4 linked regions of the Arabidopsis thaliana genome follow. The protein of the gene in region 4 interacts with the protein of the main gene of each other region in a biochemical or structural test. Each region holds a gene or a part of one and is shown on either strand. Other genes may lie near its edges.

What was found.
Region 1: the proteins of AT2G45340 (region 4) and AT1G75640 form a complex in vitro, tested with the Arabidopsis thaliana proteins (one large-scale study listed by BioGRID).
Region 2: the proteins of AT2G45340 (region 4) and NIK3 form a complex in vitro, tested with the Arabidopsis thaliana proteins (one large-scale study listed by BioGRID).
Region 3: the proteins of AT2G45340 (region 4) and AT1G24650 form a complex in vitro, tested with the Arabidopsis thaliana proteins (one large-scale study listed by BioGRID).

What each region holds. Positions count from the first base shown.
Region 1 is NC_003070.9:28,402,848-28,409,092, reverse strand, and holds AT1G75640 (Leucine-rich receptor-like protein kinase family protein), read left to right. Parts: upstream 1-1,910; 5' UTR 1,911-2,070; coding exon 2,071-5,493; 3' UTR 5,494-5,722; downstream 5,723-6,245. Other genes in the region: XRN3 (5'-3' exoribonuclease 3), read right to left, coding at 145-221, 303-405, 601-804.
Region 2 is NC_003070.9:22,382,867-22,389,752, reverse strand, and holds NIK3 (NSP-interacting kinase 3), read left to right. Parts: upstream 1-1,986; 5' UTR 1,987-2,821; coding exon 2,822-2,927; intron 2,928-3,051; exon of another isoform or gene 3,052-3,308; coding exon 3,309-3,438; intron 3,439-3,523; coding exon 3,524-3,595; intron 3,596-3,676; coding exon 3,677-3,820; intron 3,821-3,928; coding exon 3,929-4,000; intron 4,001-4,099; coding exon 4,100-4,159; intron 4,160-4,243; coding exon 4,244-4,335; intron 4,336-4,426; coding exon 4,427-4,573; intron 4,574-4,659; coding exon 4,660-5,001; intron 5,002-5,088; coding exon 5,089-5,480; intron 5,481-5,810; coding exon 5,811-6,152; 3' UTR 6,153-6,360; downstream 6,361-6,886. Other genes in the region: ACLA-2 (ATP-citrate lyase A-2), read left to right, coding at 39-120, 204-299, 388-489, 585-701, 790-906, 991-1,062.
Region 3 is NC_003070.9:8,732,956-8,737,851, forward strand, and holds AT1G24650 (Leucine-rich repeat protein kinase family protein), read left to right. Parts: upstream 1-1,614; coding exon 1,615-3,787; intron 3,788-3,872; coding exon 3,873-4,360; downstream 4,361-4,896. UniProt on the Arabidopsis thaliana protein: Involved in auxin signal transduction and cell expansion and proliferation regulation.
Region 4 is NC_003071.7:18,689,983-18,695,262, reverse strand, and holds AT2G45340 (Leucine-rich repeat protein kinase family protein), read right to left. Parts: upstream 3,600-5,280; 5' UTR 3,525-3,599; coding exon 3,095-3,524; intron 2,734-3,094; coding exon 2,473-2,733; intron 2,266-2,472; coding exon 1,369-2,265; intron 1,285-1,368; coding exon 797-1,284; 3' UTR 538-796; downstream 1-537. Other genes in the region: CRR4 (Pentatricopeptide repeat (PPR) superfamily protein), read left to right, coding at 1-447.

The sequences.
Region 1 (6,245 bases), on a different chromosome or scaffold from region 4:
GAACACGTAAGGAAACGAAATCAAGAACACAACAAACATTAGAAGGCATGTCTAGATGAAAGTAAATAGGCAAATAAAGTTTGTCTGGCTGAGGAAACTACACAGTAGAAACCCCAAGCCAGTATGGGGTAAATAAGAACATACTGCATCCGATGCATCTTTAGCAGATCTAAACCGTCTAGACCTCTGTTGATTCATTTTAGCTCTTGGAGCAACACCATCTAAGACCCAAATATATAAAAAGTATTAAGCTTTAAGCATACTATTCTAAAACTTAATGTTGGCTGATAAAGAATACTTACCAATAGCCATATAGAGTAACTTCCTTGGCCGTACCATCACGAAAAGCCTATCAATGTAATCAAACATACACTGAAACACCTCCTCAAAGGTAGTTGGAGATGGCTGCAACAACAAACATAGTCGTCAAGTAAAGAAAGAGCTAACAGAAACATTCTACACGTGCATACTCACACAAAGATCAAATTTTTACAACAAAGAACCAATTTTTAAATAAGGATGAACCAAATTTGAAAACCCTAATGTCTCAAATAAAACATTCAACAGTGAATGAATCCAAAAATCGAAAGGAAACGCTACCCTATCTTCGGGGTGAAAGCAAGGATGGATAATCCCGTTCATGTCGAGATAAAGATTATCGTATTCGAGGTTGTTAGGGTTAGGTTTACTAGTATCCACAGGAATCTTGATGCCTTCGATTTCAACAGGCTCTTCCTCGATAACATCCGCCACTAAAAGAGGATACTTCTCGGCCAACCATCGGTAAAACGACGGTACACCCATTCTTCACCGATGTCGAAGATATATATCTCCGGCGACACAAAGGAACAAGAAAGTAAAAAACCAACGGTGTTTGCCGACGGCGGTTAAGGTCACGAAGTGCACATTTATTGGGTTTTTTCCTAATGGATGAGAAAGCAAAAATCGGATTAATGAAACAGTAATCGGGCTTAAGACAAACCAAAATATGGGCTTTGTCGGAAGCCCATTTATCAAAAAATAAAATAAAAAGAAACTCCGTTGCCGGGACTCGAACCCGGGTCTCTCGGGTGAGAGCCGAGTATCCTGACCAGCTAGACTACAACGGATTTGTGTTCGATTTCTTAGCTCAAATTATATGACACTTAACAAGATTTGAATCAAAGAAAAGAGAACACGAAGGACTTGTTGTACTTGATTAAACTAGTCTCTTTCGGCTTTATGTCTAGTTCTTGTGGTCCATCTATTCCGGCAGAAATTATGATTCTTGGATTAAAATATCCTTTTGTTTAATCTTTCTTTGTGAGATTAGTGGTATAATAAGTCTTTGTTATACATTTTTCTTATAATCTATTTGTCTACATTATCCATATGTCTCATAGTGACTAATAGTACTGTAAATAAAACAATTTTGTTATAAAATTATAAATTCCCCTTTTGCTTTGCATGAACTATGGGTGAACCAGGAACCTTAACTAATAACCAGGAACCTTAACATAGAATGAAAAACATTTTGATTAGTGGATTTCGATTTTTAGAAAGAGTAAGCTTTGAATATTGAAAATCATAATAATTCATAATCTAACCATATATGAGATGCTATGAATATCCTTTTAGTGAGAAATATGTACGATTTGGTAGTTTCTGATTTACCAGCCATGAGAGATGCAGAGTTGGTCGTAACATTTGTCACAAGATTGGTAGCTACGAACATAATGCAGATACTGTCATACACGCACATGTATACTTACATACACAAAACCATATTGCATGTAAGATATTTTCTCATAGTGTTTTGATGATATTTACGTTGCTTGGTGAGACATGATCAATGAATTTAATCTACATCTTGTAGATATAAGCACTAGGTAACCATTTTTTAATAATCAAATACATCTTTATATAATTTACTTTTGGGGAACAACAAAAATTCACACCATCCCAAGAGTTCCATATAGTGGAATCCAAAACGATGTCGTTACACTCTCCCTCCTTTACGCTCCTCTCTTATATTATAGACGAAACACTAATTCTTCTCTGCAAATAAAAATCTTTCCTTTCTCCACTCTAATGGCCGCAACGGTCATTTTCTTCCTTCACTTCGCCGCAATCTTCTTCTCCAGATTCCACCACACCTCCGCCATCTCATCAGAGACTCAAGCACTCACATCTTTCAAACTCTCTCTCCACGACCCTCTAGGAGCTCTCGAGTCCTGGAATCAATCATCTCCATCAGCTCCATGCGACTGGCACGGCGTTTCTTGCTTCTCCGGCCGTGTCCGTGAGCTTCGTCTTCCTCGTCTCCACCTCACCGGCCACCTCAGTCCTCGACTCGGTGAGTTGACTCAGCTCCGTAAACTAAGTCTTCACACCAACGACATAAACGGCGCCGTTCCTTCGTCTCTCTCTCGTTGTGTCTTCCTTAGAGCTCTTTATCTTCACTACAACTCCTTCTCCGGCGATTTTCCACCGGAGATACTGAATCTACGAAACCTCCAGGTCCTCAACGCTGCTCACAACTCACTCACCGGAAATCTATCCGACGTCACAGTCTCGAAGAGCCTTCGTTACGTCGATTTGTCTTCCAATGCAATATCCGGTAAGATTCCGGCGAATTTCTCAGCGGATTCATCTCTCCAGCTCATCAACCTCTCGTTCAACCACTTCTCCGGTGAGATCCCGGCTACATTGGGACAACTACAAGACCTCGAGTATCTCTGGCTAGACTCAAACCAATTACAAGGCACAATACCATCCGCATTAGCCAACTGTTCATCGCTTATACACTTCAGCGTAACCGGTAATCACCTCACCGGTTTAATTCCGGTTACTTTAGGCACGATTCGAAGCCTGCAGGTGATTTCATTATCGGAGAATTCATTTACCGGTACAGTTCCGGTTAGTCTTCTATGTGGTTATTCAGGTTACAATTCCTCCATGCGAATCATTCAATTAGGAGTTAATAACTTCACGGGAATAGCTAAGCCGTCAAATGCAGCTTGCGTGAACCCTAATTTGGAGATTCTCGACATTCACGAGAATCGCATTAATGGCGATTTTCCCGCGTGGTTGACTGATTTGACCTCTTTAGTGGTTTTGGATATTTCTGGAAACGGTTTCTCCGGTGGTGTTACGGCTAAAGTTGGGAACTTGATGGCGCTTCAGGAGCTGAGAGTAGCTAACAATTCACTTGTTGGAGAAATTCCGACGAGTATCCGTAATTGCAAATCGTTAAGAGTCGTTGATTTCGAAGGAAACAAGTTCTCGGGTCAGATTCCGGGTTTTCTAAGTCAGTTACGGAGCCTGACAACGATATCTCTTGGAAGAAACGGGTTCTCGGGTCGGATTCCATCGGATCTTCTCAGCTTGTACGGACTCGAGACATTGAATCTCAATGAAAATCATCTCACCGGAGCAATACCGTCGGAGATAACAAAGCTAGCTAATCTTACCATCCTTAATCTCAGTTTCAACAGATTCTCCGGCGAAGTTCCGTCCAATGTGGGTGATCTGAAAAGCTTGAGTGTTCTCAACATAAGTGGATGCGGGTTAACGGGTCGGATACCGGTTAGCATTAGCGGATTAATGAAGCTTCAGGTTTTGGATATAAGTAAACAGAGAATCTCTGGTCAGTTACCAGTCGAACTATTTGGTTTACCGGATCTTCAAGTGGTTGCTCTTGGAAACAACTTGCTCGGCGGCGTCGTACCGGAAGGTTTCAGCAGCTTGGTTAGTCTTAAGTACTTAAATCTCAGTTCCAACTTATTCTCCGGACATATCCCAAAGAACTATGGATTTCTCAAGTCATTACAAGTGCTTTCGTTGTCTCACAATCGAATATCCGGTACAATCCCGCCGGAGATTGGGAATTGTTCCAGTCTTGAGGTTCTTGAGCTTGGTTCTAATAGTTTAAAGGGTCACATTCCGGTTTACGTTTCCAAGTTGTCTCTTTTGAAGAAGCTTGATTTGAGTCACAACAGTTTAACAGGGAGTATTCCGGATCAGATTTCTAAGGATTCTTCTCTAGAATCTCTCCTGCTTAATTCGAATTCTCTATCGGGTCGAATACCGGAATCTTTATCAAGATTGACGAATCTAACCGCGTTGGATCTTTCGTCGAACAGATTGAATTCCACTATACCATCAAGTCTCTCTCGGCTTCGTTTCTTGAACTATTTCAACTTATCAAGAAACAGTTTGGAAGGGGAGATTCCAGAAGCTCTAGCTGCGCGTTTCACTAACCCGACCGTCTTTGTCAAGAACCCGGGACTCTGCGGTAAACCGCTTGGTATAGAATGTCCAAACGTTCGAAGGAGAAGAAGAAGAAAGCTAATTCTACTAGTGACACTAGCAGTGGCTGGAGCTTTGTTGCTGTTACTCTGTTGTTGTGGTTATGTGTTCAGTTTATGGAAATGGCGGAACAAACTAAGATTGGGCTTGAGTCGGGACAAGAAAGGGACCCCCTCACGTACATCTAGAGCGAGTTCTGGTGGGACAAGAGGAGAAGACAACAATGGTGGACCTAAACTTGTGATGTTCAACAACAAGATCACGTTAGCTGAAACCTTAGAAGCCACAAGACAATTTGACGAAGAGAACGTATTGAGCAGAGGAAGGTATGGGTTGGTCTTCAAGGCGACGTTTAGAGATGGGATGGTTCTATCGGTTCGTAGACTAATGGATGGTGCTTCGATAACCGATGCAACGTTCCGTAACCAAGCTGAGGCTTTAGGTAGAGTGAAGCACAAGAACATCACGGTCTTGAGAGGTTATTACTGCGGACCACCTGATCTAAGACTTCTTGTTTACGACTACATGCCCAACGGAAACCTCGCTACGCTTTTGCAAGAAGCCTCTCACCAAGACGGACATGTCTTGAACTGGCCAATGCGTCATCTCATTGCTCTTGGAATCGCTAGAGGACTGTCCTTCTTGCATTCTTTATCAATCATTCACGGCGATCTTAAACCGCAAAACGTACTCTTCGACGCTGACTTTGAAGCGCATTTGTCAGAATTCGGGTTAGATAGATTGACAGCGTTGACTCCAGCTGAAGAACCATCCACTTCATCCACTCCCGTCGGGTCTTTAGGCTACATTGCACCGGAAGCGGGTTTAACGGGTGAAACAAGTAAAGAGAGCGACGTGTACAGCTTCGGGATCGTGTTGTTAGAGATCTTAACGGGGAAAAAGGCAGTGATGTTTACAGAGGATGAAGATATAGTGAAATGGGTGAAGAGACAGTTACAAAAAGGTCAGATCGTTGAGTTGCTTGAACCGGGTTTGTTGGAGCTTGACCCGGAAAGTTCGGAGTGGGAAGAGTTCTTGTTAGGGATCAAAGTTGGGTTGTTGTGTACTGGAGGAGACGTCGTTGATCGTCCGTCTATGGCTGATGTTGTTTTCATGCTCGAAGGGTGTAGAGTCGGTCCGGCGATTTCCTTGTCCGCCGATCCTACTTCACCTACTTCTCCCGCCGCAACCGCCGTTTCTTGAAATTGCTGTTTTCTTATTACAATCATTTTATTTCTTTTTCCTTTATTTTTTTTCCTTTGTGGATAATTTATGTTGACTTTCATTGTGTTGTATCTTGTCACGGGTACGACAATCAAATTTTAAGTTGCCAAATTTATTGAATTTCCCACGGTGGAATGAACAATCACTTCAATGTGTTGTTGTTAACTTGTTATCTTGGGTTTTAGAACAATTTTTTCCGGGATTCTCGTTCAACAAAAAATCATATTATAACGAATATATATTTGTCGGGTCCAGCATATTATTATTAGTCATGTAGACTAAAATAGTGTGTTGACGTTGAGGTTTAGACCCTATGGCGCCGTTATGGTAAGCATTGCGTAAACTATCTACCGAGCTTTAGTAGACAATGTTCCGTGATTTGGTCAGTGGGGTTAATACTTAATAGTACATGTGTGGGGTTTTCAACATTGTCGTTGTTCTGTTTTAGTTCCCGCCAAATACGTTAGGACAAGTGGGTGTGTGACACGTGTTGGTCTTCATAGGGAGATGAAAGTAGCCGTTGATATTATTTATTGGATTTTTGTGTTTGGGGAAAAGTGAAGTTAAGCCGTCAGAGGACGAAAAGCTTTTTTAAGCAGAGCCTGTTGTTGTCTGAAACCCCAGTCCACGTTGGATTTCTTACTGTTTAGCCAGTGTACTTTGTTTCTTTGGCCTTTTTTATTAATTATTACTTCTCTTTCATTTATTTAACTTTTAATGTTTGGTTGGTG
Region 2 (6,886 bases), on a different chromosome or scaffold from region 4:
GAGTTTGGGCGGTATGATTAACCTCTTACGTTTTGCAGGTGGGGCGACATTGAATTTCCCATGCCATTTGGAAGAGTGATGAGTTCAACAGAGAGCTTCATCCACGGTCTAGATGAGAAGGTATCATACCAATAAGCGTAGAGTAATTGACGCTTCTGGAAACACCAGTTTCTCTATGACTTATGACCCTTTTGTATATGCAGACAAGTGCCTCTTTGAAGTTCACTGTTCTGAATCCCAAGGGAAGAATTTGGACTATGGTAGCTGGAGGAGGTGCAAGTGTCATCTATGCTGATACCGTATGTTTTTATATGAACACCGAGAATCTCCTGCATTTTTCTGCTTAGAAGCCTTAGCCTCTAAAGTGTTTACTGAAATGTTATCCAGGTTGGAGATCTCGGGTATGCATCTGAGCTTGGCAATTATGCTGAATACAGTGGAGCACCCAAAGAAGACGAGGTTTTGCAGTATGCCAGAGTTGTCATTGATGTAAGATGCTGCTTTAACTTCTGCCAATAAAGCATCTGAAAATAAAGTCACTCCTGACTTGGTCGTGGTGCTGAATGATAATACTGCTTCTTCAGTGTGCTACAGCGAATCCGGATGGAAAAAGCAGGGCTCTGGTAATTGGAGGTGGAATTGCTAACTTCACCGATGTTGCTGCTACCTTCAATGGCATAATCCGAGCTCTCAAGGAAAAAGTAAGCAAGAAGAGAGTAGAATCATCCACAAACACTTCATTGCCCCTTGACTACAAGTATAAATGAACCATGCTTTAACCGTTTACAGGAAGCAAAGCTGAAAGCAGCAAGGATGCATATATTTGTGAGGAGAGGAGGACCAAACTACCAAAAGGGACTTGCTAAAATGAGATCACTTGGAGACGAAATCGGTGTCCCCATCGAGGTATGTAGACACACAATGAATAAACTCAAGACATTCCCGCTTAATCAGTTTCTAACTGTTTTTACATGTCTGTTTGATTTCAAGGTGTATGGTCCTGAAGCAACAATGACAGGTATATGCAAGGAGGCAATCCAGTACATCACAGCGGCTGCATAAGCCTTTACAATCTTATCACTTACTTTCAAAATACTCTTTAGCGTCTCTTGAGTTTGAGACGTGTTTGGATTATGTTTCACTTCTAATGTATCTTACTATTCATAAATAAAGAACAAGTATCTTCTTTTTTCTTACTTGGTATTTTCTCTTTTGATTCTCATCTTCTTCTTGACTTAGATCAGAAGAAAACGTATTTAATCAACTTTTATCTAGCAACTCCAAAAATTCTACTAGGAAATAACGATATGGAATCAGAAGCATTTAAGCCTTTTACACACGATGCAAGCAATTTGCTGAAGTGGATATCGACAGTCATAGACATGTCCATTTTTAGACTTGGCTATTCAAAAATTTGGACCATTTTTCTATTAATCAGGGCCCGTTTTTAGTGATAGCTCTGGATATTTTCATTGAGCTGGGCCTTTTCTGGTCATGGAAAGAGATTGCAATATCTATTTAGCCATCCCAAGTGGGCAAAACATAATCTACGCTTACAAAATTTGTGTAAACGAATTCGTCTACGCTTACATTTTTGTGTAGTAAAGAGAAGTATTATGTTATCCTTTAATCAAAAACTCAAAAAGGGGTAAAATAATTGAAGCCTGAAAAAGCCAACAAGATAGGAGACAGGCCATGAACGTGATCTGCCCATCAAAAAAAACTTTTTTTTTTTCTCGGTAACTTTTTCTAAAAAGCAAAATATTAAAATAAGAGAGAGATGTCCTTGTTCTTATGTTTTTTCTTTTATCATCTATGTGACCCATCTCTTCAATCTAATCACATTTTTGTATATTAAAGTGTTTTCTTGAAACATTTGTCCGAAAGCAGAAAATAAAAAGGATTCAAACTGAAATCATGAAAACATAAACAAAAAAAATGTACTATTCTTTTTACCTCACAGTAATTTTGTTTTATATAAAAAGCTTATAAATTAACAAAACTTATAAAAAAGTGAGAAAAACAGAGAGTCTCTTCTTTTCTTGTTATTCTGTCAGTATCTTTCTGTGTGTGTTTGTGGATTTTTTGGCATTTTCATTTTGGATTTTGCTTGTTTGGTCCCTTTCTTTTCATGATTATTATTTTTAAATTCCTTTTTTATATTGGTGGTGTGAATGATAAGAGTAGGCAGATGAGAGATTAGATGATTTGGTAATAGTGGTGTGGAATTAGAAGCAAACCTTTTTTGAAAAAATTAAGAATGTTATAGAGATTAGTTATTCAATAACAACTACTACCAAAGTCATAAAAATGATATAAAATATAAACCAAGAAGCACTATTAGTATCACTCATCACTCAATAGCTTTTTTTTTTTCAGATCTCTAGGAAAATTTCTCAGACTTTCAGAGCATTTTGGTGCTTTTGTTTTGCTTGGTTTCTCGGGAAAATTCTCTTCACACTTTTAGAGTTTTCTCTCTCTTCTCTATCTCTTGTCACAGCTCGTTTAGCATTCATTCTCTTAATCGTTTCTTCATTCAAAAATTCTCTCTTTCTAAGCTGAGTAACTTGCAAGTCGTCATTTTTCAATTGGGGTCTTCTCCTTTTTACTTCCTTTGAATTGAAATCACAGAGAAAGAGAGGTTCCATTGCTGGAAAATGGATTGCTCAAATTAGTTTCTGTGTCTAAATAAAGACAGAGAAGAAGAAAAGTAGACAAAAGCTAAGTTTTTTTTTCAGATATGGGAGAGAGAAAAATGAGTTGGTGGGTTCTTTGAAACTTGTTTTTGTTCAGACCAAAGTTGATTGCTTTAAGAAGGGATATGGAAGGTGTGAGATTTGTGGTGTGGAGATTAGGATTTCTGGTTTTTGTATGGTTCTTTGATATCTCTTCTGCTACACTTTCTCCTACTGGTGTAAACTATGAAGGTTAGTCTTTTTCTTCTTGGAGAAATCTCAATTTTTTTCTCTATGAATTTATCATCTTTGGTTTTGTCTATTTTGTTTAGTTGTTCCGAAAATTCTGGTGAATGTTTGTGTGGATTAGGTTCTTTTTTGTTTCTTTATTGGATAATAAATATCACAGCTTTAAATGCTCACCAGACTCATATAACCTTAGCCAATAGCAGCTCAAGTTTACTTCATTCTCTGTGAAACTATACTGCATATAAGCTTACTGGGTTTTTCTTGGATAAGATTTCAATTTCGAAAAATGCAGCTTTAGCAATAAGATAATTCATAGGAGTTTTGAGGCTAGATTTGTTCTTTCAATCTGAAGTTTCTTTCTTTTTGTTTGTCTGAAATGAGCAGTGACAGCTTTGGTTGCTGTGAAGAATGAATTGAATGATCCGTACAAAGTTCTTGAGAATTGGGATGTGAATTCAGTTGATCCTTGTAGCTGGAGAATGGTTTCTTGCACTGATGGCTATGTCTCTTCACTGTGAGTCTTCTCTTCTCTTCTCGTATATTAGATTAAAAAAACCAGATAGATCTTTAAGACTTGTCTTGTTTTCTTAATGAAACAGGGATCTTCCTAGCCAAAGCTTGTCTGGTACATTGTCTCCTAGAATCGGAAACCTCACCTATTTACAATCAGTGTAAGATTTTTCTAGTCTTTGCTATATGTGATTCTTGTTCTCTGTTTTGCTTCTTGTTGAGCTTAATGTTTTGTTGTTTAGGGTGTTGCAAAACAATGCAATCACTGGTCCAATTCCGGAAACGATTGGGAGGTTGGAGAAGCTTCAGTCACTTGATCTTTCGAACAATTCATTCACCGGGGAGATACCGGCCTCACTTGGAGAACTCAAGAACTTGAATTACTTGTGAGTGCTCCTTTACGGTTTCACAATGATTCTTTTGTTGCATGTTTATAAAATTCCAATTCAATTCTGAGTGGTCTGTTGTTCTGTTCTTGTCATTTTCATTTTCAGGCGGTTAAACAATAACAGTCTTATAGGAACTTGCCCTGAGTCTCTATCCAAGATTGAGGGACTCACTCTAGTGTAAGTCTCTAAATCCTGCTTTTTCTATTGTTCACAGTGGAAAAACATACATTGGGAGAATATTTATTTACTTACTTTTTACTGATTCTTAATGTGCAGCGACATTTCGTATAACAATCTTAGTGGTTCGCTGCCAAAAGTTTCTGCCAGAACTTTCAAGTAAGCTTTACTAAACTTATACAAGAACTTATCTTTCCGTTGAAGCTGAAACTAAGATTCAGCGTTGGGCTTCTTAAACTGAAGGGTAATTGGTAATGCGTTAATCTGTGGCCCAAAAGCTGTTTCAAACTGTTCTGCTGTTCCCGAGCCTCTCACGCTTCCACAAGATGGTCCAGGTATTAGGCATCTGCTTCTCATAGCTCCCTATTCTTCTTCTGCGTCAATGTATCTCATCACTTCCATCTTTGGTTCTTCTTTCTGTTTTAGATGAATCAGGAACTCGTACCAATGGCCATCACGTTGCTCTTGCATTTGCCGCAAGCTTCAGTGCAGCATTTTTTGTTTTCTTTACAAGCGGAATGTTTCTTTGGTGGAGATATCGCCGTAACAAGCAAATATTTTTTGACGTTAATGGTTAGTATCTTGAAATACTATCGGCTTCACATCATTTTGTGCAGAGCAAAACTGACACTTGCATCTTGATGATTAATATTTTGCAGAACAATATGATCCAGAAGTGAGTTTAGGGCACTTGAAGAGGTATACATTCAAAGAGCTTAGATCTGCCACCAATCATTTCAACTCGAAGAACATTCTCGGAAGAGGCGGATACGGGATTGTGTACAAAGGACACTTAAACGATGGAACTTTGGTGGCTGTCAAACGTCTCAAGGACTGTAACATTGCGGGTGGAGAAGTCCAGTTTCAGACAGAAGTAGAGACTATAAGTTTGGCTCTTCATCGCAATCTCCTCCGGCTCCGCGGTTTCTGTAGTAGCAACCAGGAGAGAATTTTAGTCTACCCTTACATGCCAAATGGGAGTGTCGCATCACGCTTAAAAGGTAATGCAGTTTCCAAAAAAACTGCTAATTTCTTCATGCTCTTTTGCAAGTTTTTAATAGTTCCATCTTGCTACATTTTTTGTTTAGATAATATCCGTGGAGAGCCAGCATTAGACTGGTCGAGAAGGAAGAAGATAGCGGTTGGGACAGCGAGAGGACTAGTTTACCTACACGAGCAATGTGACCCGAAGATTATACACCGCGATGTGAAAGCAGCTAACATTCTGTTAGATGAGGACTTCGAAGCAGTTGTTGGTGATTTTGGGTTAGCTAAGCTTCTAGACCATAGAGACTCTCATGTCACAACTGCAGTCCGTGGAACTGTTGGCCACATTGCACCTGAGTACTTATCCACGGGTCAGTCCTCAGAGAAGACTGATGTCTTTGGCTTTGGCATACTTCTCCTTGAGCTCATTACTGGTCAGAAAGCTCTTGATTTTGGCAGATCCGCACACCAGAAAGGTGTAATGCTTGACTGGGTAAGTCTCTTTTCTCTGTTTCTTGTTTCACTTTCTAGAATCTTGAAGCTATTGTTCATAATTGTGGTTTGGTTCGGTTCAGTCTTGTTTGATAGAAAACTTAAACCAAAACAAAATATAAATTAGCCGTGATTTTGGCTAAATTTTGGTTCTGTTTTTGTGCTTGATAAAAGACTCAGTTTGGTTTTCTGTTATCTTTGATTTGAATTCGGTATAGTTTGAAGACTAAACTGTTATTTTGGATTCGGTTTGGTTCTGTTTTTGTGCTTGATCTGGAATTGGTTTGGTTTGGTTTATTGGTCTGAGAAATGAGATTGTTAAAAATGGCAGGTGAAGAAGCTGCACCAAGAAGGGAAACTAAAGCAGTTAATAGACAAAGATCTAAATGACAAGTTCGATAGAGTAGAACTCGAAGAAATCGTTCAAGTTGCGCTACTCTGCACTCAATTCAATCCATCTCATCGACCGAAAATGTCAGAAGTTATGAAGATGCTTGAAGGTGACGGTTTGGCTGAGAGATGGGAAGCGACGCAGAACGGTACTGGTGAGCATCAGCCACCGCCATTGCCACCGGGGATGGTGAGTTCTTCGCCGCGTGTGAGGTATTACTCGGATTATATTCAGGAATCGTCTCTTGTAGTAGAAGCCATTGAGCTCTCGGGTCCTCGATGATTATGACTCACTGTTTTTAAAAAATTTCTTTTCTTGGGTTTGTTTTTTATTTGTCGTTTTATAATGTTGATATAGATGTGAAGTTGAGTGTGTAATTTTTATGTAAAGAAAAAATATGAAATGCAAAAGAAAATGTTGATTAGCCTGCCACATTACTCAATATTTGAATTTTCAAAGTGAGGTAAGAATTTTGGATGGCATATAAATCAAACCGAACTGAAAGTTTTTGAATCGAAATGAACCGAATTGTAAGCTAAACGTAATTTCAATACCGAATAAACTGAATTGAATACATCAAGTTTCAGGACTACAAAATAATTTTGTAACATGTATATAAAAAAAACATTTGCATGTATAACTTTTTGTAATTCTTAAATAAAATTAAATTTGTTTAAACTATGTTATCTCCAATGCAAAACCGAAACAAATCTAAGATTTTCAAACTGACCTAAACCAAAACCAAAACAAAATCGAAAAGGTTCAAACTAATTACTAACCGAAAGAAAATTCTGATATAGTTTTTCTAAAACCGAAAAACCTAAAACCTTGAACCGAGTAAACCGGAAAACAAAATTCCTAAACATATATTCATCACTTAACCAAATTAAAGATTCCAAACCGAAATAATTCGGTATAAAGAGAATCGAACTCTATTCGGTCAACGTGTAATGAAGCATTAAACTTCGCCTCAGACACACTATACAAAACCACCGAACATAGGAATTAGGATGGTC
Region 3 (4,896 bases), on a different chromosome or scaffold from region 4:
TTCTTTTGCTCCTATCTCTAGCAAGGCTGATGCTTTGCTCAGATGTCTCCTATGGGCTATGGAGAGTATGGCCAGTCATAAAATTGATAATATTATCTTTGCCTTTCAAGATAAGTCTCTGATTGGTGCAGTGTTGAGACCAAGGGCGTGGCCTTCTTTTAAAGCTCAGAGTGTGGCTTTAAATAGATCATAGTTACCTTTTTTGGTGTGGAAGGTGGAATTGGAATTTTCTGCTGCAAACAGAGGAGCAAACCTCATCGCCCAAAGTGTTACGGAGGCGTCTCGGTCTCAATCCTATGTGGCTGTGGGGCATCCTTATTGGATGAATGGTGTGTTTGTTGAAGAAAGAGGTTTGTATTCTGTTTGATAGTGAGAAGTCGTTTTGGTGTTGATGCTCAGTGTTTGAGATCAATGGTTTGTATATGGAGGGTTTGGCTTATGTGGTGCTCGATGGTTCAGAGCTTATTCTTTTTTGTTTAGACCACTTTTGAATATGTTGGAGTTGGGTCTTGTGGTAGGCTAACTTGTTCGCTTCACTTTGGTTTAGTTTAGCCTTGTAATCGGTGGTTTCATATTCTGAAACTTTTAATTTTCTAATATAATCCAGATGACAAAAAAAAAAGGTATTTTTGTGAGTACCCAACTTCAAACTTGACCTAAAAATAAAGTAATAAAAAAAGGAGCAAACAAAGAGGATAATCATCTAATTATTTGACTCAATAATATGCATAGATGTAAGACCTCAGTTTGGTTGCTAGAATAGCTCTGTGTTATTGAATATCGAATTTGTCATTTGCTACGAACTTGATCATGATAACCCTTACTTTTAAAGTTTTTCCTAACAGTAATTTTCCTCAGTTTATCAAAAACACCACCGTTAAATGGTAGGACTGGTCCAAATGATTATAGAACTTCCAATGAGAAAAAATATATGATATTTGACAATTATAATTTACTATCAATAAAAGTAAGTTTCTTTTTAGTTTATTATAATCATATATATTTCAGTTGTATTCAATTTTATAATGCTAAAAGCCTAAAACTATAAAACCGTTCCAAAATAAATAAATGAGAGTTTTGGAATTTTCATTATTTTTAAAAAGAAACAAATCTCAGTAAAAAAAAATACAAAAAAGAAAATATAATAAAGAAATGTAGATTTACGAACAGTGCAAATGCATTTTGTTAAAATGCTATTTCAGCAAATAAAGAAACTAAAATAAGATACTGGGCCTAGTTACACAAAAGAAAAAAGAAAATAATACTGGGCCTTAAAATCTATGATTTTTATATATCTGGGCCTGTAAATACAGAAAGATTGCGTCCTTTAACATTCTTTCCTTGGTCAGATGAAAAGGAAACAAATCATTTATTAACAAAACCAAGAAATGGGAAATAACAATAAAAGCACTTCCCTCGCTCAAGTCAATTTAATATTTCCAAAAAAAGCAATAAAATCTGCCGTTTCGTTTTTTCCTTTCTCATTCAATTCAAGAAGAAGAAGAAAATCTCCGCCCAAAAAGTTTCTTCCTTTGAAGTCTTTAAGCCCTAATCTATCACTGTCTGTGAATCAACGCCTCCCTGCGTTTGTTTCTCAGTTGAAAAAAAAAGATAATGATCGCAAAAAACTTCCTCCTTTTGCTCTGTTTCATTGCCTTGGTGAACGTTGAATCGAGCCCTGATGAGGCGGTCATGATAGCTCTGAGAGACTCCTTGAAGCTATCTGGAAATCCAAACTGGTCCGGGTCGGATCCTTGTAAGTGGTCTATGTTCATAAAATGCGACGCAAGCAATCGGGTCACCGCGATCCAAATCGGGGACAGAGGAATCTCAGGAAAGCTACCTCCTGATCTCGGAAAGCTAACATCTTTGACGAAGTTCGAGGTCATGAGGAACCGTTTAACAGGACCAATACCGAGTCTTGCTGGGTTGAAATCGTTGGTAACTGTGTATGCTAATGACAATGATTTCACTTCTGTCCCTGAGGATTTCTTCTCTGGTTTGAGTTCTCTTCAGCATGTTTCTCTGGATAACAATCCTTTTGATTCTTGGGTGATACCTCCGAGTTTGGAAAACGCGACTTCCCTTGTAGATTTCTCTGCTGTCAACTGCAATCTTTCCGGGAAGATCCCGGATTATCTCTTCGAGGGGAAAGATTTCTCTAGTTTGACGACTCTGAAACTGTCTTATAACTCGCTTGTATGTGAATTTCCCATGAATTTCTCCGACTCACGTGTTCAAGTTCTGATGCTTAACGGGCAAAAGGGAAGGGAGAAGCTTCATGGGTCAATTTCGTTTCTGCAAAAGATGACTTCTTTGACCAATGTTACGCTGCAAGGGAACAGCTTCTCCGGTCCTTTACCAGACTTTTCTGGTTTAGTCTCGTTGAAAAGTTTCAATGTTAGGGAGAATCAGCTTTCGGGTCTCGTTCCCTCTTCTTTGTTTGAGCTGCAATCTCTTTCTGATGTTGCTTTAGGTAATAACTTGCTTCAAGGACCAACTCCAAACTTCACGGCTCCTGACATTAAGCCTGATCTGAATGGTCTCAATAGTTTCTGCTTAGATACTCCAGGTACTTCTTGTGATCCCCGTGTCAACACGTTGCTTTCAATCGTTGAAGCCTTTGGTTACCCGGTGAATTTTGCGGAGAAATGGAAAGGAAATGATCCTTGTAGTGGATGGGTAGGGATCACTTGTACTGGAACTGATATCACAGTTATCAACTTCAAAAACTTGGGGCTCAACGGCACTATATCTCCACGATTTGCTGATTTTGCGTCTCTTCGTGTTATTAATCTCTCTCAGAATAATCTTAATGGTACTATTCCACAAGAGCTCGCTAAGTTGAGTAACTTGAAAACACTGGATGTTTCGAAGAATCGGTTGTGTGGTGAAGTACCTCGTTTTAACACAACTATTGTTAACACGACTGGGAATTTTGAGGACTGTCCTAATGGCAATGCTGGAAAGAAAGCATCTAGTAATGCTGGGAAAATTGTTGGTTCTGTTATTGGTATTTTGTTAGCTTTGCTTCTTATAGGGGTTGCTATTTTCTTTTTGGTCAAGAAAAAGATGCAATATCATAAGATGCATCCTCAACAACAATCTAGTGACCAAGATGCGTTCAAGATTACAATTGAGAATCTGTGTACTGGTGTTAGTGAAAGTGGATTCAGTGGTAATGACGCTCATCTAGGAGAAGCTGGAAATATTGTGATCTCAATACAAGTTTTGAGGGATGCTACATATAATTTCGATGAGAAGAATATACTTGGGAGAGGAGGATTTGGAATAGTTTACAAGGGAGAGTTGCATGATGGAACAAAGATTGCGGTTAAGAGAATGGAATCTTCGATTATAAGTGGAAAGGGTTTAGATGAGTTTAAATCAGAGATTGCTGTTCTTACTAGAGTTCGCCACCGAAATCTAGTGGTTCTTCATGGTTATTGCTTAGAAGGCAATGAGAGACTTCTTGTTTATCAGTACATGCCACAAGGGACATTAAGTAGGCATATTTTCTATTGGAAGGAAGAAGGGTTGAGGCCTCTCGAGTGGACTAGACGGTTGATTATTGCATTGGATGTGGCTAGAGGAGTTGAGTATTTGCATACTTTAGCACATCAAAGTTTCATACACAGAGATCTTAAACCTTCTAATATTCTTCTTGGAGATGACATGCATGCTAAAGTTGCTGATTTTGGTTTAGTCCGGCTTGCACCAGAAGGTACACAATCAATTGAGACCAAGATTGCTGGAACATTTGGTTATCTTGCACCAGAGTATGCAGGTATGGTTTTATGCTTATTTTGTATGTTGCTACTCGTTCTAAACTCACTAAATGTAAAATATTGAAATCTCTATGTACATTGCAGTGACCGGAAGAGTTACAACAAAGGTTGATGTTTACAGCTTTGGAGTCATCCTCATGGAGCTACTAACGGGTCGAAAAGCTCTTGATGTTGCACGATCTGAGGAAGAAGTACATCTTGCCACATGGTTTAGGAGAATGTTTATCAACAAAGGCTCATTCCCAAAGGCGATAGACGAAGCAATGGAGGTCAACGAAGAGACACTCAGAAGCATCAACATAGTAGCTGAGCTTGCCAATCAATGTAGCTCCAGGGAACCGCGAGATAGACCCGACATGAATCACGTTGTCAACGTGTTGGTCTCACTTGTTGTACAATGGAAACCCACAGAACGAAGCAGTGACTCGGAAGATATCTATGGAATTGATTACGACACTCCTCTTCCTCAACTTATTCTTGATTCGTGTTTTTTTGGAGATAATACTCTGACGAGCATACCTTCGCGACCTTCCGAGCTTGAAAGCACATTCAAATCAGGACAAGGGAGGTAAAATGTGTTAGAGAATTAGCTGGAACATGGAATGAGAAAGGTTTTGCTGTTGGATGAGTTCTTGTTTTAGGTTTGCGGATAGTGAATATATCTTGTTGGTTACCTTCCTTTTCAAGTTAGGGTGTCCTTTTCGCACGAATGGAACCCATATGCTTAAATTGGACACGTGTTTTGGTCTTTTGTCGTAGACTAGCTGGACACTTTCTAGATATTTAGAAGTTTAGGTTGGGCATTGGCATTGTCTCAAGAATTTATTTTGATTGATGTATCATTTGAGTCAAATGGTTTGACATATATAATTTTTTATTTTATAGTTTTCCCGAATTTCAACTGATTTCTTTTATGGTTTAAGACATTGTACATCACAATTTGTACATTTTTATTGTGCTTTACATCATATGCTACGTACATAAATGATCAGGCATCAAACTTTTTTTTTAGTTGTCTCCTACGAGTTGTCTCTACATGGAAACATTCAGGCCTTGTCTTATTTTTTAATACAGAAGAATGGAAAAAACACAACAAATTATCTCATTT
Region 4 (5,280 bases):
TTAGTAAAGGAAGGCCTTCTCTGCTTTGAGCTCATGAGGAGAAAACACAAGATAGAACCAAGATTGCAACACTATGGTTGTATGGTAGACATACTATCGAGATCCGGAAGTATAGAGCTAGCCAAAAACTTAATAGAGGAAATGCCTGTTGAGCCAAATGATGTCATATGGAGAACGTTTCTCACCGCTTGTAGTCACCACAAGGAGTTTGAAACGGGAGAGCTTGTCGCAAAACACCTTATTTTGCAGGCTGGATATAACCCGAGCTCATATGTGCTACTCTCTAACATGTATGCTAGTTTTGGAATGTGGAAGGATGTTCGTAGAGTTAGAACGATGATGAAGGAAAGAAAGATAGAGAAAATTCCTGGTTGTAGTTGGATTGAGCTCGATGGAAGAGTCCATGAGTTCTTTGTAGATAGCATTGAAGTTTCCAGTACATTGTAGATAAAACGAATGTGCAGCAATATATTTTCAAGGGCTTAAACCTATTCTGCAATTCCTTGGCATACATGAAGACAATGTCACATGGTTGGTTTTGTGCAGCTAAGATATGTCTGGAAAAAAACTTCCCACAAGATCACTTAAAACGTCTGAAAAGTGATTGTTTTTACAGCCTAAGTACATCAGCTACAGTTACAAGGAGATAAGATTGTTACATCATGAACCGAGTTTTTCGGATCCCCTATACTGAACCTAAAACAGAGTTAACATCAGGGGAATGGTGATAGTCTGAAACCTTGGTATGCTTTATATTCTTGGACTATCAAAAGCAAGAATCATGTTAAACGGGAAACTAATAATCCGCGGCGAGATTATTCAGTTCTTGGATAACATCTTCCATGGATGGTCTTTGGTTTGAGGATTCATGAGTGCAGAGAAGACCAAGTCTAGCGAGCTGAGCCGCTTCTACTTCCGGGAAGTTCTTTCGAAGATTTGGATCCATGAAGTCTTCATTCAGTCTTCCTGACTCTACAGCTTGTAAGATCATCAAATGGCTGATTTTGCTTTTACCACTCAGTATCTGCAACAGAATCATACCAAATGCATAAACATCGCTCTTATCAGTGAACCTCCCTGTAGTTATGTACTCAGGAGCTAAGTATCCCATTGCCGCACTTGCTTTGAGCTTCGAGAAAACGATATCATCTGTGAAAAGCTTGTGAAGACCGGAATCTGCAAGAGAAGGATTATACCAGTGATCAATGAGAATCTTCTCTGCAGATAGATTCTGGTGAACTATTGCAGGTTTGTTCCCATTTTCTCCATGCAAGTACACAATCCCTGAAAGGAAGAAAAAAAAGAAATCAGATTTCACATACAAAAAACCGAGTTTAGTTTACGAAAGAATGAATAGCAGAATCCAACCTCTGGCGATTCCGTTTATGATGGAAACTCGAGTTGCCCATTCAAGAACCTCTCCAGTCTCATCCTTCACATCAAGATACTGCAAAAGATTACCATTGGGAACAAACTCATAGATAAGGAAACATTCTCCACGTCCTTTCGAGCAGCAGAATCCTCTCAACCTCGCTAAATTCTCATGCTTCAACAGTGTCAGCATCTTCAACCCTTTGAGAAACTCGGATTCATCGGATTTACAGCTCGATTTAGCTATACATTTGATAGCTGCAACAGAACCATCTCTAAGGATACCTTTATAAACTGAAGAGACATTACTCTTCCCCAACAAGTTAATCTCAGAGAAGCTCTGAGTAGCTCTCTCAATCTCCTCAAGATTGAACATAAAGCTCTCAAAGACTTCTTGAGACAATGCACTGTTGTTGTTACTGCTCTGTCCTCGTCCTAACGGATCCCAACCACTTGCGTACTCTAAGCTGATCAATGGAGAAGAGCTTTTTCTTCTAGAAACTTCTTTGAAGTTGTACTCAGTACTAATCCTACCGTCCATTGCATCAAGACTGCTTCCAATCTTCTGTTTCCTTCGTCTGTACCATGTGAATGTTGAACCGCCAAAGATTGCAACTGCGAGGATTGATCCTATTAGACCCATGACGATTCCTAAAGGTGAAGACTTTAAGGATTTTGATGAACACCCGCCATTGTTGTTACTGCAATTGCTTCGTTGTAAATCTGCTGATTCTGGTTTCACGTCAACTGTTGTGAAATTCGTTGGGTTTGTTGGGTCTGGTCGGTTAGGGTTCGGACCGTTTAAGCCGGTGCAAGCTTTCAAATCAGTGAAACCATCTCCGCATAAACCGTGATTGTTTGAATACTGGAATCCATTGTTTAGCCTCTTCAAAGCTTCATAATTCATAAAAATCAAGAAACAAACAAGTCAGCAAAACATCTTTAATGTGGTTGTAAAAACCGGTTTAGAATTGATATGGTTTAAGTTCTCCACGATCCGGTTTTGGATTGGTTCCCGGTTCTGTTTAATCGGATTGGTCAACACTGAACCGGTTTAGAATCTGAAGAATTTATGAATCTTGAGGGAAAATAAATTATTACCAGAGGGAACGAAGCCGGAGAAGGAGTTATTACGAATGTCGAGAACTTCAAGCAAAGGAGCACCGGCGAGTTTCACCGGAACAGGACCAAAGAGGTTGTTGAAGCTCAAATCAAGCCTCGTTAACGTATCAATATCGCCTAAACTCGCCGGAATGGCGCCGGAGAGTTGGTTATACTGTAAAGCCAAGACAGTTATCTTCTTAAGAGAACCAAACTGTGTCGGTATACTTCCACTTAACTTGTTGTAACATAACTGTATAACTGCAAAAAAAAAAAAAAAAGTGTTATGAATATATAGATGCAATTATATTTGCCCTTATTTTTGTTGAGTTTTACATTTTAGTTTCAAAACCCCAAATAAAATTGTTTTTGAGTTTTGCATAAAAAAGAGTGAAAGATGAAGGAGACAATAGAGAGTATCCCTAGTTTCTAGGAGACTCAAAAATCTAAAAACTTGAATGGATGATTAAAAAAAAAAACTAAAATCTACACCATTCAAGACCTAAACTCTTTTTAGCTAAGTTTTAATAAACCAAATTTGACCCGCTTAAGGTGTTTTAGCTGCAATAAATGAATTATAGTGAGTGAGGTTAACAAAGAACACATGCATAAATAGACCGACCTTGAAGATTGTCTAAGTTCCCGATTAGAGGAGGGATTTCACCGGAGAGATTGTTGACATTGAGGTATAAATCGGTGAGGAGAGGCAGATTTGAGATATCTTTAGGAATATGACCGGTCAAGGAGTTGAAGTGAAGGTATAAACCGGTTAAGCTTGTGAGAAGACCGATTGAAGGAGGGATAGTTCCAGTGAGACCCATTCCTTGAAGAGAGATGTTAGCAACACGGCGGTTTCCGTCGCACGCGACACCGTCGAAGGAGCCAGAGGAGCAAGGGTCGGCGTCGGGAGTCCATGAAGTGAGGAAACGTTTTTCAGGGTCGAGAGAGGATTTGATATCGAGGAGAATGTCGAGCTCTGAGGAGGAGGAAGACAGTGCAGAAGAAAGGAAGAAGAAGAAGAGGATGAGAAAGAGTGTGAGTGGAGAGACCATGTTTGGTTGGAGAGAAGAGAGAGAGAGAGATGAGGAAGAAAATGAAAATGACTCTCTCTTGTGGTTTTGAAGAAAAAATCTTGTCCATTGTATTTATAAAATAGTAGTTCTTGATTGTTAATACTAAGAAAAGCTTAAACCACAAAAGTATAGATATCGTGAACATAATAATAATAAAAAGTTAGTTCAACTATGAAAATGTAAAATGATAACATAGAGAACTATATAGATCACAACTCTAATTTTTTAATATATAAATGTATATAGACTAATCTCCAATGTAAGTTATTGCAATGTATTAAGACATTCATATAGTAGCTAACTATACATAATTGTTATTGCAATGAAAGTATTTGAACCATAGTCCATATGTTACTCTTATGATAATTTTAAACCACTTGACTTTTTATCACTTTTTAATTACACATATTACTGATCAAAATCAACAGTAAATTTTTTTAACTACAATATTTTGATTGTTTGTTCATGTTACATCAAGTATTCTACATGTATAGTTTCACATTTTGAGTGGATTGTTTTTGATTGATTAGTATATATATATAAGTTTATTTGGAAATTGAAGGAAAACAAAAGACTCATGAAAATTGAAAACATTGAAGTCCACGAGTTCATTTCATTTTCTGTACTTTATACGGTAAAGATTACTTTTAAAGTCTTTTCAGAGGAAAACAATAATAGTTAGGCGAATCTTAGCTTTTTTTCAAAATTGAAAATGATACCATTCTCCCTGGATTTAATGGTAAGAAAAGTTGTTTCTTTTTCAGTGCACCAGCTATAAAATTGTACTTTTTATATCATTTGTTTTTAACTTTTCATATATCCATAAATGTTGGATATATGTTTTCTTATAAATTTCTATTAATTAGCGAATTCATAACTTATTAATGACCATATTTACTGAAAAACATCAAAATTGTGAGGTTGGGATTTTAGTTAGAAAAGAACTATATTTGACTAAATCAAACCTCGAGTTTATCCGATCATCATCAGTAAACACCCTTAGATATTACATGTACAAATAACCTGATAACAAGCTTTATATGTTCACATGGAGAATAAGGTACAAAGATAAATGGGATCTTCTTGATATTATTCCATTAAATTACTATATTTGATGCAAATAATTGTTCCATGAATAACAAAAAAAAGGGTAGCTAATATTTTATATTATATAAGAACAAATTAAAAGGTAAAAAAGGCATCCAAGAGGCATGGGGCTAAGAGTACATCAAATGGGACAAAGAAGATGATGGAGGCAAGTCAATAGTAGCAACATGTGAACATTTTTCTAACACAATTAATAAACAAATTTACGTAAAATTTTACAAACATGTGAACTTGTCTTGAGTTAATGTTTTTGCTATCTTCTATATCTGATCATAGCAAAAGGTAAAATGGACCAACACCTCGCTCTCCTCTAAGTGTAACATGTGAATTTACAGAAACAAGAAAGACATAAAGCAAGAGAATAAAGCAAAAGGCTAAGGTCTACTTAAAAGATATTCCGTTTTCTCTGTAATTTTCTTACTTCGTGGGTAGTGGTGGATGATATTTTTGGTGGATGATAGATGTGTGTGTATTTCATTATCTATTTATAGAATGAAATTATTATTTGAGTGAGAAAATGAGAATTTTCAGAAAGAAAGTGTCCATGATAACTTAATTAGTGCAGTCAAATCTCTATATGATGATGACATTGTGTTAATTAGACAATATTAATTTGAGTTCCTAAGTT